Tribolium castaneum: one gene and its partners. The protein of the gene in region 2 binds, or shares a complex with, the protein of the main gene of each other region. Links are inferred from orthologs where the notes say so. Each region holds a gene or a part of one and is shown on either strand. Other genes may lie near its edges. The genes, in order: Sf3b6, Sf3b3 and Mfap1.

What was found.
Region 1: Sf3b3 (region 2) and Sf3b6 share a complex: the UniProt entries of both Drosophila melanogaster proteins name them as parts of the splicing factor SF3B complex. The link is inferred for Tribolium castaneum from reciprocal best matches to the Drosophila melanogaster genes Sf3b3 and Sf3b6.
Region 3: Sf3b3 (region 2) and Mfap1 share a complex: the UniProt entries of both Drosophila melanogaster proteins name them as parts of the spliceosome B complex. The link is inferred for Tribolium castaneum from reciprocal best matches to the Drosophila melanogaster genes Sf3b3 and Mfap1.

Annotation. Positions count from the first base shown.
Region 1 is NC_087395.1:21,527,919-21,530,442, reverse strand, and holds Sf3b6 (splicing factor 3B subunit 6), read right to left. Parts: upstream 1,259-2,524; 5' UTR 1,130-1,258; coding exon 1,100-1,129; intron 1,049-1,099; coding exon 713-1,048; 3' UTR 658-712; downstream 1-657. Other genes in the region: mutS protein homolog 5, read right to left, coding at 1,275-1,748, 1,789-2,336, 2,382-2,427, 2,475-2,524. UniProt on the Drosophila melanogaster protein: Involved in pre-mRNA splicing as a component of the splicing factor SF3B complex. SF3B complex is required for 'A' complex assembly formed by the stable binding of U2 snRNP to the branchpoint sequence (BPS) in pre-mRNA.
Region 2 is NC_087394.1:10,463,076-10,466,734, forward strand, and holds part of Sf3b3 (splicing factor 3B subunit 3), read right to left. Parts: intron 3,171-3,659; coding exon 2,836-3,170; intron 2,775-2,835; coding exon of another isoform or gene 2,693-2,774; intron 2,517-2,692; coding exon 2,365-2,516; intron 2,291-2,364; coding exon 2,135-2,290; intron 1,533-2,134; coding exon 285-1,532; intron 1-284. UniProt on the Drosophila melanogaster protein: Involved in pre-mRNA splicing as a component of the splicing factor SF3B complex, a constituent of the spliceosome. SF3B complex is required for 'A' complex assembly formed by the stable binding of U2 snRNP to the branchpoint sequence (BPS) in pre-mRNA.
Region 3 is NC_087397.1:4,122,508-4,126,554, reverse strand, and holds Mfap1 (microfibrillar-associated protein 1), read right to left. Parts: upstream 2,757-4,047; 5' UTR 2,638-2,756; coding exon 2,568-2,637; intron 2,461-2,567; coding exon 1,199-2,460; 3' UTR 731-1,198; downstream 1-730. Other genes in the region: Dcr-2 (Dicer-2), read left to right, coding at 1-533, 580-730. UniProt on the Drosophila melanogaster protein: Required for pre-mRNA splicing.

The DNA of each region.
Region 1 (2,524 bases), on a different chromosome or scaffold from region 2:
ATATTTTTAAAATGTGCCTTATCTTTCATAGAAAAAACTGGGTCACTCTGCATGTAGTCAATAGTAAAAAAAGGGTAGTGATAAAGCGATCATTAATAAATTCGATTTTGATCAGTAAAAAATAATAAATGATCAGTATTTAATTAATTTTTGCACAGTAGAAATAATAAATGATCAGTATTTAATCCATTTTTACTCAGTAAAAAATTTAAATGACAAAACCACGCACAGTATTTTATTAAAATTTACCCAGTAAAAAAATCGTATATGCACAGTATCTAGTTTCAGTTTACACGGTTTAAATAATAAACGCTCAATAGATAGCCTGCAGGCTGGGGCTTCGCCCCATCGAACTAAAACGAAACATATCCCGCGAACGATTTTTGAGATGCTATTATCTACTGTGCATTTATTATTTTTACTGAGCATTTACTATTTTTACTGAGCATTTACTATTATTACTGTGCATTTATTATTTTAACTGTGCGTTTATTATTTTTACTGTGCGTTTATTATTTTTACTGATCAAAAATACTTGTCGTTTAAATAAAATACTGTGCATTTAATTTGTACCCATAAAAAAAAACTCTTAGCAGACTCACCCTGAATTGAAAGGGAATTTAAAGGGAGATTTAATTGCGTTAGATATAAAAATCATTCTCATTGTAATTATTTATTTAAAAAGCTTAAAATTATGTACAATACAATATGTTTACGTATTAATTCCGTATTTTGATTTCATCTTATCAATCTCTTCCTGTTTCTTCTCAATATCGGTCTTCTTGAACGCTTTACTCGCCTGATAATACAAAACCACTAAATACCGATTACAAACATTAAAGCCGGACAAATGGTCACAAGCGTTTTTTGCGTCAAAAATGTCCTCATAAACCACAAAAGCTGTGCCTCTAGTTTCCGGGGTATTACCGACGCGGATTTGCCTGATAGCCCCATATTTACCGAAAATATCGTACATTTCTTCGGCTGTTATTTTATAGGGGAGATTGCGGATGTAGAGAATTCGGTTGATTTCTGGGGGCAACCTAACCTATAAAAAAAAACATTTTTTGGGTCAAATTTTTGGTATTTAACGACTTACGTTTGCCTTTCTTTGCATAGCCAAAGCCATTGTGGCGTTTTTTTAATTTGCTTCAATGAATTAAATACAAAAACAAACTCACACAAACGTTTTTATTGACTGAACAACACGATCGCCAACGTAACACGTACCAACCCAACAATTAACAAAACTAAAGCGGGATATTCAAACACAATTATGCCTCATCTGGTTCCGGAATATTAACATCTTTTAAAAACGCAATCAACGCACTATCATTAACGGAAGCCGGATAACTCTCACAACGGACTAATGGCGTGACTGTTTTCTTTTTTTCAAACAATTCGTTTGCCCGTTTGATAATACTCGCATCCACGCCAACTTCGGCCGCAATTTTTATCGCAAAACTCCTCGAAACACCTTTCGCCACTTTATAAAGGAACAAAAGTGTCCCATTTTCCTCCGAATGTGCCATTTTCAAATATTCAACAACACCATCTTCCGGTAAAAAATCAGAAATGCTTTGGTGGTGCGTCGAGACAAGTATGTGAGGGCAGTTATTGCCTTGTTTGTGAAAGTCGGCCAGAAAGCCGACCAGTAAAGCAAGTCCATCCTCCACGGTGGTTCCCCGGCCAAACTCGTCCAATAAGATCAGAGAGTTGTGGCGCGCGTTATGAATCGCTTGCGTGGCCTAATTTACGATTAATTTTTTCGCAAAATTTTATACAGACCTGGATTGCGTCAATCATAAATGCAGATAGGCGCACGGCTGCCGATTCCGTCGCTTGCATTCTGGAATGTATGCAATGCAAAATCCCGATGTTGGCGCTCCTGGCAGGCACGTAGGAGCCAATGTGGGCAAAGTAAATAACGAGGGCTACTTCCTTCAAATACACACTTTTGCCACTGCCGTTAGGCCCCGTGATTATTTTAATGTGACTGTGGTGATTCCCCGAGCAAAAGTCATTGGGCTCGAAATTTGAGACCAGCTCGAGGAGAGGGTGACGACACTCGCGGATTTCGTGCATATTTTGGTTGTTTAAAGCAGGTCGGACGTAATTATTTTGTGCCGAGACTTTCGCTATTGCTATCAAACTAAAAATTGTGTATAATTGGGAGAAAAAATCAATAAAATCGTACGCATCAAACAGCGATAAGACTCTAAGAGGCTCTCTAATATCCTTGTTGTATTTGAGAATGAAGGAGGAAAGGCGTTGCAAAATGCGATTTTCGTGGGCGATTATTTCGGCATTAATGTCGCCAAGGTTTTCGTCCAATTCTAAATTAAAATGATAGAAAAACAATAAATTTAAATTTTTTATACCTAAACATAGTGGATTCTTGTAATGGATTGTTCCACGCAACGTGAACTACAAAATACCCAATAAGTGATAAATCGCCTTAGGAATTTTCTTACCATGAATTGAAATCCTAAATCTTTCAATTCCTCGGGATCGCAATTCGGTT
Region 2 (3,659 bases):
AAAAATCGAAATGATACGGAAGTTGTTTCACAATTAAAAAAAGAGGTTTGTTAAAATAATTTTGAAGCAGATTAGTATGAAATAGTTCTTTTTTAATCTTGAAATTATGTCCCTCCCCACAATATATTATCGTTATAAAGTTAATACTTAAAAAAATATACTTTATTAATTTTTAATTTCAGCAAAAAAATATTTCAGTGTACATCAGGAAAGAAGCAATGCCATTGCCTTAGTCTAAACATCTGAATTATATCAATAATGATTAAACAAATGATAATACTAACCTTGTTTTCACATTTCCTTAAGAGTTTCTTCTTCCCCATATCGTAAAGCCTCAACATCCTGCCAACTCCTGCAAGTAGCAGTCCATTATAAGCACAAAGGGCCATTGGAACTTCATCAACAGGAGTTCTATGAACAAATTCCAACTCCCGACCCATTGGATCCATTTTATAAGTATCCAAAAACCCAGTGTTACAATGCCTTGGATTTAGTTGAAAATCTTTAGAAATGCCAACAATCAAGAACAGAGTTTGTTGTGGCTGATTTTGGAATTTAACCAAAACACTAGACATTGCTGCCTCGTTCTGTTCCAATCGTATACACTTATGCACGATTCCTTGTACCGGATCCATTATTTTAAGCGTCGAAGCCCACATTCCATGCCCGGCTTTAGGCGCCGAAAAAATACTTTCGGGCAAGTCTTCATTCAAAAACGCATCGGCCATTTCTTTAGCCAACTCTTGTTCTTCTTCACCTGCGGCTTCTTTCATTTCTTCGGCCATTTGTAATCTTCGTTGTTTTTTGGTTTCTTCGGTGTAGGCATTGTGCTCGGTTTCAATGATCAGCAAATTATTGCTTTCAGGATGGATTATAAACTTCCTCGGGGTGTATTCAAGCGGAAATGAGACTTGATTAAAAACAGCCCCTAGTTTTTCCAACGCCAAAATACGTAACGTATTTGTGGAGATCGCAACAATGCCTTCTGGACACTGCTCGGAACTGAACCCTGAGGCATATTCCAGACTTTCATACGAGAGTGGAGTCAAATAAAACCGACTTTGGTAGTAATAACTCAACCAAGAACGGCTACTCATTGCCAGAACAGCTTCCGATTGTTGCATTCGTATTCGGAAGAGTTTGACCGGTCTCGAACCCAAATATCTCGTTCTTGTGTCTGACAATTCTCCAGAAACTGGATCTAATACGTTGCGAAGTAAAGCGCCGTTTGTAAGTCCAATGTTCAGATATAAGGTGCTTGTTGTGCTGGCAGCTGCAGCGTTATCCGGTTCACGATCTGTGCAACCCATTTCTACGATACATAAAGACTCGGCACAAACGGGTAATCCTTGGATAGAACGCGGCGCCAAACAATCGCTCGGATCTAGCGAGATAATCCGTACTGTACTATCGGCTAATCCCACGGCAAGGAAGAGGGATAATTGTTCGCCGGGCGCCACGTTTGCTAATGCCATGCAAACGACGTCGGCGTTCATACGTTTTCGTTCTTTGTATTCGTGTAATTGGCCCGTCTGTAAAACACGGAATTACTACTAAAAGATCGCTGAAATTGTGAAAATCTCAAGAAGTGAGTCCGCTTGTGTGATTTTATCAGAAAACTGAACCGAATTGCGAATGGAAATTTGCCAAATGAGGGAAGCGACTCAAGCGAGTTAGTTAATAGTCAGAGTTCTAAAAGTCTGTATTTTCTTGAAGCTCTCCGAGAGCGTATGACGCCCTGCTATTGTCACTCAAAACAGTCGAAATTCTCAAGCTTTTATAAATTTTAGAATCCTAACTTGTAAGCAAAAATATTCTCCACTGAAAGAAAAACAGTATTTTTTACTTTTTAATGCATCTTTTTTCTAAAAAACATTGCAATTTGATTAGATCACAGTTTTCGGTAATTGCAATGATTTTTGCTTATGTTTCAATAGTTTAATAGTTTAGAAAAATGAATGCAATTTGATATTTTTGTTACTTTACGATGTATCAAATGCAGCAATTTATTGTAAACGGAATAAATAAGCGAAAAATTACCGTTATAACACTTATAAAGTTAGAGTAAACTTGCATTAAAGACAATAACGCCTTGAATAAACTGGGATAATAATTTTTGAAGTAAAATATTTACCGGATCCATTTCGAAGTAAGCTAGTTCACCCCCTGACAGTGCAATAACCACTTGTCGTTGATTAATTGCACACTTTACGATTGTTTTCTTCCCTGGAGCTTTCCACTCATTTACACGCTTATCGGAACAAATATGCCGAATACCGCCTGGATACACCTAAAAATAAAAAAATACAATAATAAAAAATCAATTGCAAATTAATATATAGAAATGGGCATTATGAGAAGTACCTGAACTAAGGCATCGTCACTAAGAGCTGAACAGGACAATGTTGGTGTCGTACCCAAAAAGCCACTGTCTGTAACCTCCTCCACAGTTTCACCAATTGACAATACCAAAGTTGCGTTAACGAAAGACACAATAATATAAGCATCATATTCATCTGTAACAAATAAACCCAAAATGATAGTATTTAAACCAAGTATCTTAGATAATACTAAGTTGTCATAAGAAAACTCAGTTATTAACTATAATCACAATGATTCAGTTGAAACACGGACAAAAAATATCATCACTGTTTCGTTAATTGTCCCCCGTTTTTCTTTTCTTCCAACTCACCTTACTCCCGCAGAACGACAAGCAAACCAATCGCCATCTGAAATAAAAAGCAACTGGTGTTGAAAATCGTTCAACCACCAGGCTTTATTAGAAATTCATTCACAATGAATTTCATTTAAAGTAATAAAATAAAATAGGCTTACCGTCACTTCTTCTCTTAACCGTCCAAACGGCGTTGGGATTGCCAGGAAGCTCGGACACGGCCATCTCAGACACTTCGAGACCGTGTCGTAGAACCCGCAATGAGGATCTCGGGCCTCTTCCGCAAAGCATATACAATTGAGGAGTGTCTTCACCTGCCAGATCAGCAACTCGACAAGATAGAATCGGTGAAAGCGATTCCATTTCGTCGACCAAAACCAAGTTACGAAGGGAACGAGGCGCGAAAAAAAAAGTGTCACCTTCTTCTAAGGGCATAGCGGAGCTAAACTCCAACTCATCGTCGTCGTCACCAAGATGGGCGATCTGATACAAGTAGCTGAAAAAATCACCCATGAAAATATTTTGACATTAAAAAACTTAACAAATTATTTGATTTCAAAAAATAAAGAATAAAAAATAGACATAGTACAGAATTACTGTAAATAAAATTAGTTTGCGACGAATTTTCTTTATTACTATTTAGTATTATTAATGACAAAACAAAACTGAAAAAAAAAATGTATCTCCTTGATTCACTCCATAACACCACAGAAATGCGACGGAGGCGACAAGAAGAGGTTAATATTGCATGGAACAAAAACAGACAACCAATTAAATAGATGCCTGAGCAGATCCATGCGTTTTTTATTCTGTCACTTAGGCTATTTTATAATGTTTTAAAATTTTACCCGACTTTGTAAATGAGTGAAACTCTCCCAAAATCGAAACCCTTAATAAGCGCAGCGGAAAATACGAGAGTCTACCAGTCGTTTTTGAACTAATTGACGCTAATAAATAAAATTTGTTACAGTTTCTTGTTTTTAAA
Region 3 (4,047 bases), on a different chromosome or scaffold from region 2:
TATTCGCCGAATCGCATAACACTGAGCTACGAACGGTTGGAGTTTCTTGGTGATGCTGTGCTTGATTTCCTCATCACGTGTTATATTTTCGAACATTGTGGGCATTTGGAGCCGGGTCAAGTGACCGATTTGCGGTCATCCCTTGTCAACAATAACACGTTCGCAAGCCTTGTTGTCCGATGCGGGTTTCACAAGTTTTTGCTCATGATGAATTCGAATTTGCAAGGTCATATTGACAAGTTTGCCGATTACCTTGCTTCAAAAAATTACGTGATCGACGATGAAGTTCTGATTTTGTTGGAGGAGGATGAGATGAATATCGCCGAGTACGTCGATGTGCCTAAAGTTTTGGGTGATATTTTCGAAGCCCTTGCTGGCGCAATTTATCTAGATAGCAATAAGGATTTGAAGACTGTTTGGAGGGTGTTTTACAAGATTATCTGGCGCGAAATTGATCTTTTTAGCAAGAATGTGCCAAAAAATGTCATCAGGAGATTGTACGAGTGCCATACTGTTTACCCTCCGCAATTTAGGTAAGTTGTGTTGCGTTTGAGCCTTGATTTATTTTTTCTTTCACAGTAAAGCGTTGGAAGTTGGTAATCAAAAGACTATGGTTTCTTTAGACTTTATGTGTGAAGGTAGAAAGAAACGAGTTCATGGGTTTGGAACGAACAAAATCTTGGCTAAAAGGGCCGCTGCCAAAATTGCTCTTCGTGCTTTAAAGTTGTAATTAACGCACGAAGTCACAATGCGCTTATATTGATTCAGTTACTCGCTAGGATTGTTTGAAAAATGCTGTTTTCCATTGTTCAACTATATACCGTCAGTTAAATTCATTCGCTTTGATACCTATCACAAAAATGGTGAATTTAACTCACGCTGATAATTAAGTAGGAGAATTTTTAAATTACAGCCAACCTTTAATTTGTCATTAGGTGGTTCCAAAAATAATTCGTTTTCAAATTAAAACTGTTTCAAGTTAACCACTCAACCGCATTTTAAAACTGACTGGTTAACATAAAACTGTTTAATTTAAAAACTGTTGCGAACTTTAGTCTATACTTTATGATGATGTTAATTTACTTTGTATATTGCTTGAAGCTTGTATGAAAGTGTGATTTCCCTATTACATTGTTCTTTAATTGATGAATAAAAATATATATTTTTTGCATCTAAGTCTAGTGGTTATTACACCTTACTACTGCGTTTTCCTTTTTTTCAACGAGGGTTTTTCAAAGACTTGCTTGACGCCCCCTGCTTGTGTCGAGTGAAATTTGAGATTTTGCGAGGTTTCACTTGACCAAGGTGAATCGAAATGAGTTGTGTCTTGATCCACCAAATGTGTGTACTTCGTTCGTCCAGACCGTCCGAAATTTTTGACTTGCATAACTTTCGGCAAAATAGTTTTATCGAAGTGATCTTCCAGAGTTGCTTGTGCGAAATCTCTCTTGAAAACCTCGTCCTCCTTATCAAGATAGAACGCACCACGGTGGTAATATTTCTGCAAGAATTTGTACTTCCCCTTGATGGCTTTGTTTGTGACTTGTTTGGGGTTTAGTCTCAGCTCAAGCCTTCTCTCTTCTTCCGTCATGTTCCTCAATCGTTCGACTTCAAGTCGCTCTTTTTCAATAGCTTCGCGTTCTTCGCGATCTCTTTTGATTCGCTTCAACTCCCTTAGTTTCCAAGCTTCGTATTCAATTTCGTCGTTTTCATCGTCTGTGCAAACGTCGTTAAGGTTGGGTTCGTTATTTTCTTTATCTTTCTGTTGCTGTTCCTTCCTGATTGTTTCCTCAACAAGACGTAGCGTTTGTCGCCGCCTTTCTTCCGCATTTCTCACAGCTTCCAATTCTTGCTGCTTCTGCTTCTGTACCTCCTTTTCTTTTTCTATGATCGTGATCCTGTCTTTCTTTCTTACAAAAATCGGTTTTAATCTGGGGCCAGTCTCCTCCTCCGAATCTGTGTACTCTTCATACTCTGACGATTCTTCCGACGACTCCGACTTTTCTTCTTCTTTCACCATAAACTCCTCTTCCTGCTTTTCCATCATGCGTTTTTTCATCATTTCTCTGCGTTTCTCGATTTCGCTATCGCTAAGCTCCACTTCGGACTCATCATCGTCAGGAGCCGCCTCCAGTGTGTGTTTATGTTCGGGTAAATTAATTTGTTCCTTTTCGGATTCTTCATCAGACGATTCCAACACTTCTGGCTCCACAACGTGACGGCGGCGTTCTGGCCTCACTTCAGTTTCAACTTCTGCGATTTTCAGACGACGCAAACGGGGGTCATTCAGTTCGTCATCGCTGCGTGAAGGCTCCGGCGTTGGGGGCTGTTGGGGCTGATTGCGACGCTCCAGGAAATCGTCGTCGTCGCTGTCGCTGCTCGAACGCGCGTCTTGGGCATAATCGGGCTTCTTTCCAGACACGTAGCGGTGCACCTTCACCTTTTGCATCGAAATTTCGCCTGGAAATAGGCGGAAACGGCTCAGAAGGCATTTTTATTTGTTACAATTTTTTTATTAATTTTTGACAATGAGGTTATAGCCGTCATAGGTAAGAAAGATATTTTACCTTTTTCGTTGCGAACGGGAACCGCACCCGCAGTACTCTGGATGCCATAATAGGGCTGGGGGTTCATCATTGTGAAAATCGACTATTGAAAGTCGTTTTTAATTCTAAAATAAACGAAAATTGTTTTTGTGCCACAACTTTACATTTGACAGTTGACAACACAGGTTGACAAGTGACAAGCATAGAATTGAAAAATAATCAATGAATTATAAAAATAAAATCAACCGGTTCGAGAATTTTTTTGATAAATGAACCAAAAAAAAATTTTGTTCGTAACTGATTTAAACTCAGCGCAGAGACTTGATTGCAAACATAAATAAATAAGGTGTAATTTTGGTTGTATAATAATCAAACCAATATATTTTTTATAATAATCGCAATAATTAATACAGAATCTATGGATTTTGCAACTTAGAATTTTATTATATTGTATTATCTATTGGTTTTTATATGTTAAAACTATATCGTGTTTCTTTCTAAATGATACGTGTAGAAAATGTGTTCCTTTTATCAAACAAATTACAAAAAATTGTGACTTTTATTGTTTAAATTGGTAATAAAGAGTAAACGTTTTTTTTTGTTTATACGTTTCATTCGAAAGTTATTTGGATTGTTTAAACCTGTGGGTAAAAAAAGTCGAGGGCCACCAACGTAAGAAACCGAAATGCAAATTAGCTGTTGCCGTTGGGTTGGCAATACCACCTGTTGATGCTGAATCAAGTTAAATCTACGAAACGCAAGCGTGGAAGAAGACGCGGCGAAGCTGTGTTATTATAATTTTTACGCGATTGTGCCAAAATATTCCAACATTATGAACAAATAGAGTGGTTGCGGGTGTATTTTCTGTGTTGTGTGCATTTTATGAGTTACAATAATTGGATTACAAACGGCAACACAACTTGTACCAAGTGGTAAGTGTGATGGAAAGAACCGTCTTTGAAACCGTATTTTCGGTTATAAACCATCCACCGGTAACCAGCGTCTGGTTTACCGTTTTGGTAAAGCATTTTCGAGTTGGCTGGTCTTGGCTGGCCTCGATGGCAGCGAGTTGAAGCGAGTGTCCATTTGAAAAACCGCTGAAAAATCGAATAAATGGGCTATAATTTGCGTAATTGAAGCCAATGCCGGGATTGTTATTGTCAAGTGCGGATAAAAACAGCAAAATAGGCGCGGCAAATTCTTGTTTCTTGTATGTCAGCACGATCAAGAAGTCTGTGTGGAGTCTGACGTTTAGGCAGGGCATGCTGCGATGCTATTATGCAAAGTATACCAAGAATCACTGTCTATGGGGCTACCAAAGTGTTATTTATCTTTCGGCCTGCAGACGATGACGTCGAGATGGATGTGATGGGAATGGGTCAACGACACCCGGAATGCCCCCCTTTTCTTTCCCGGAGTTTTCCGGCGATTTTTTCGGGTCCGGAGACGACGTGTCAAAGGTCTACCGGTTATTAGAGACGCGGATGGAATTCATTTAAAT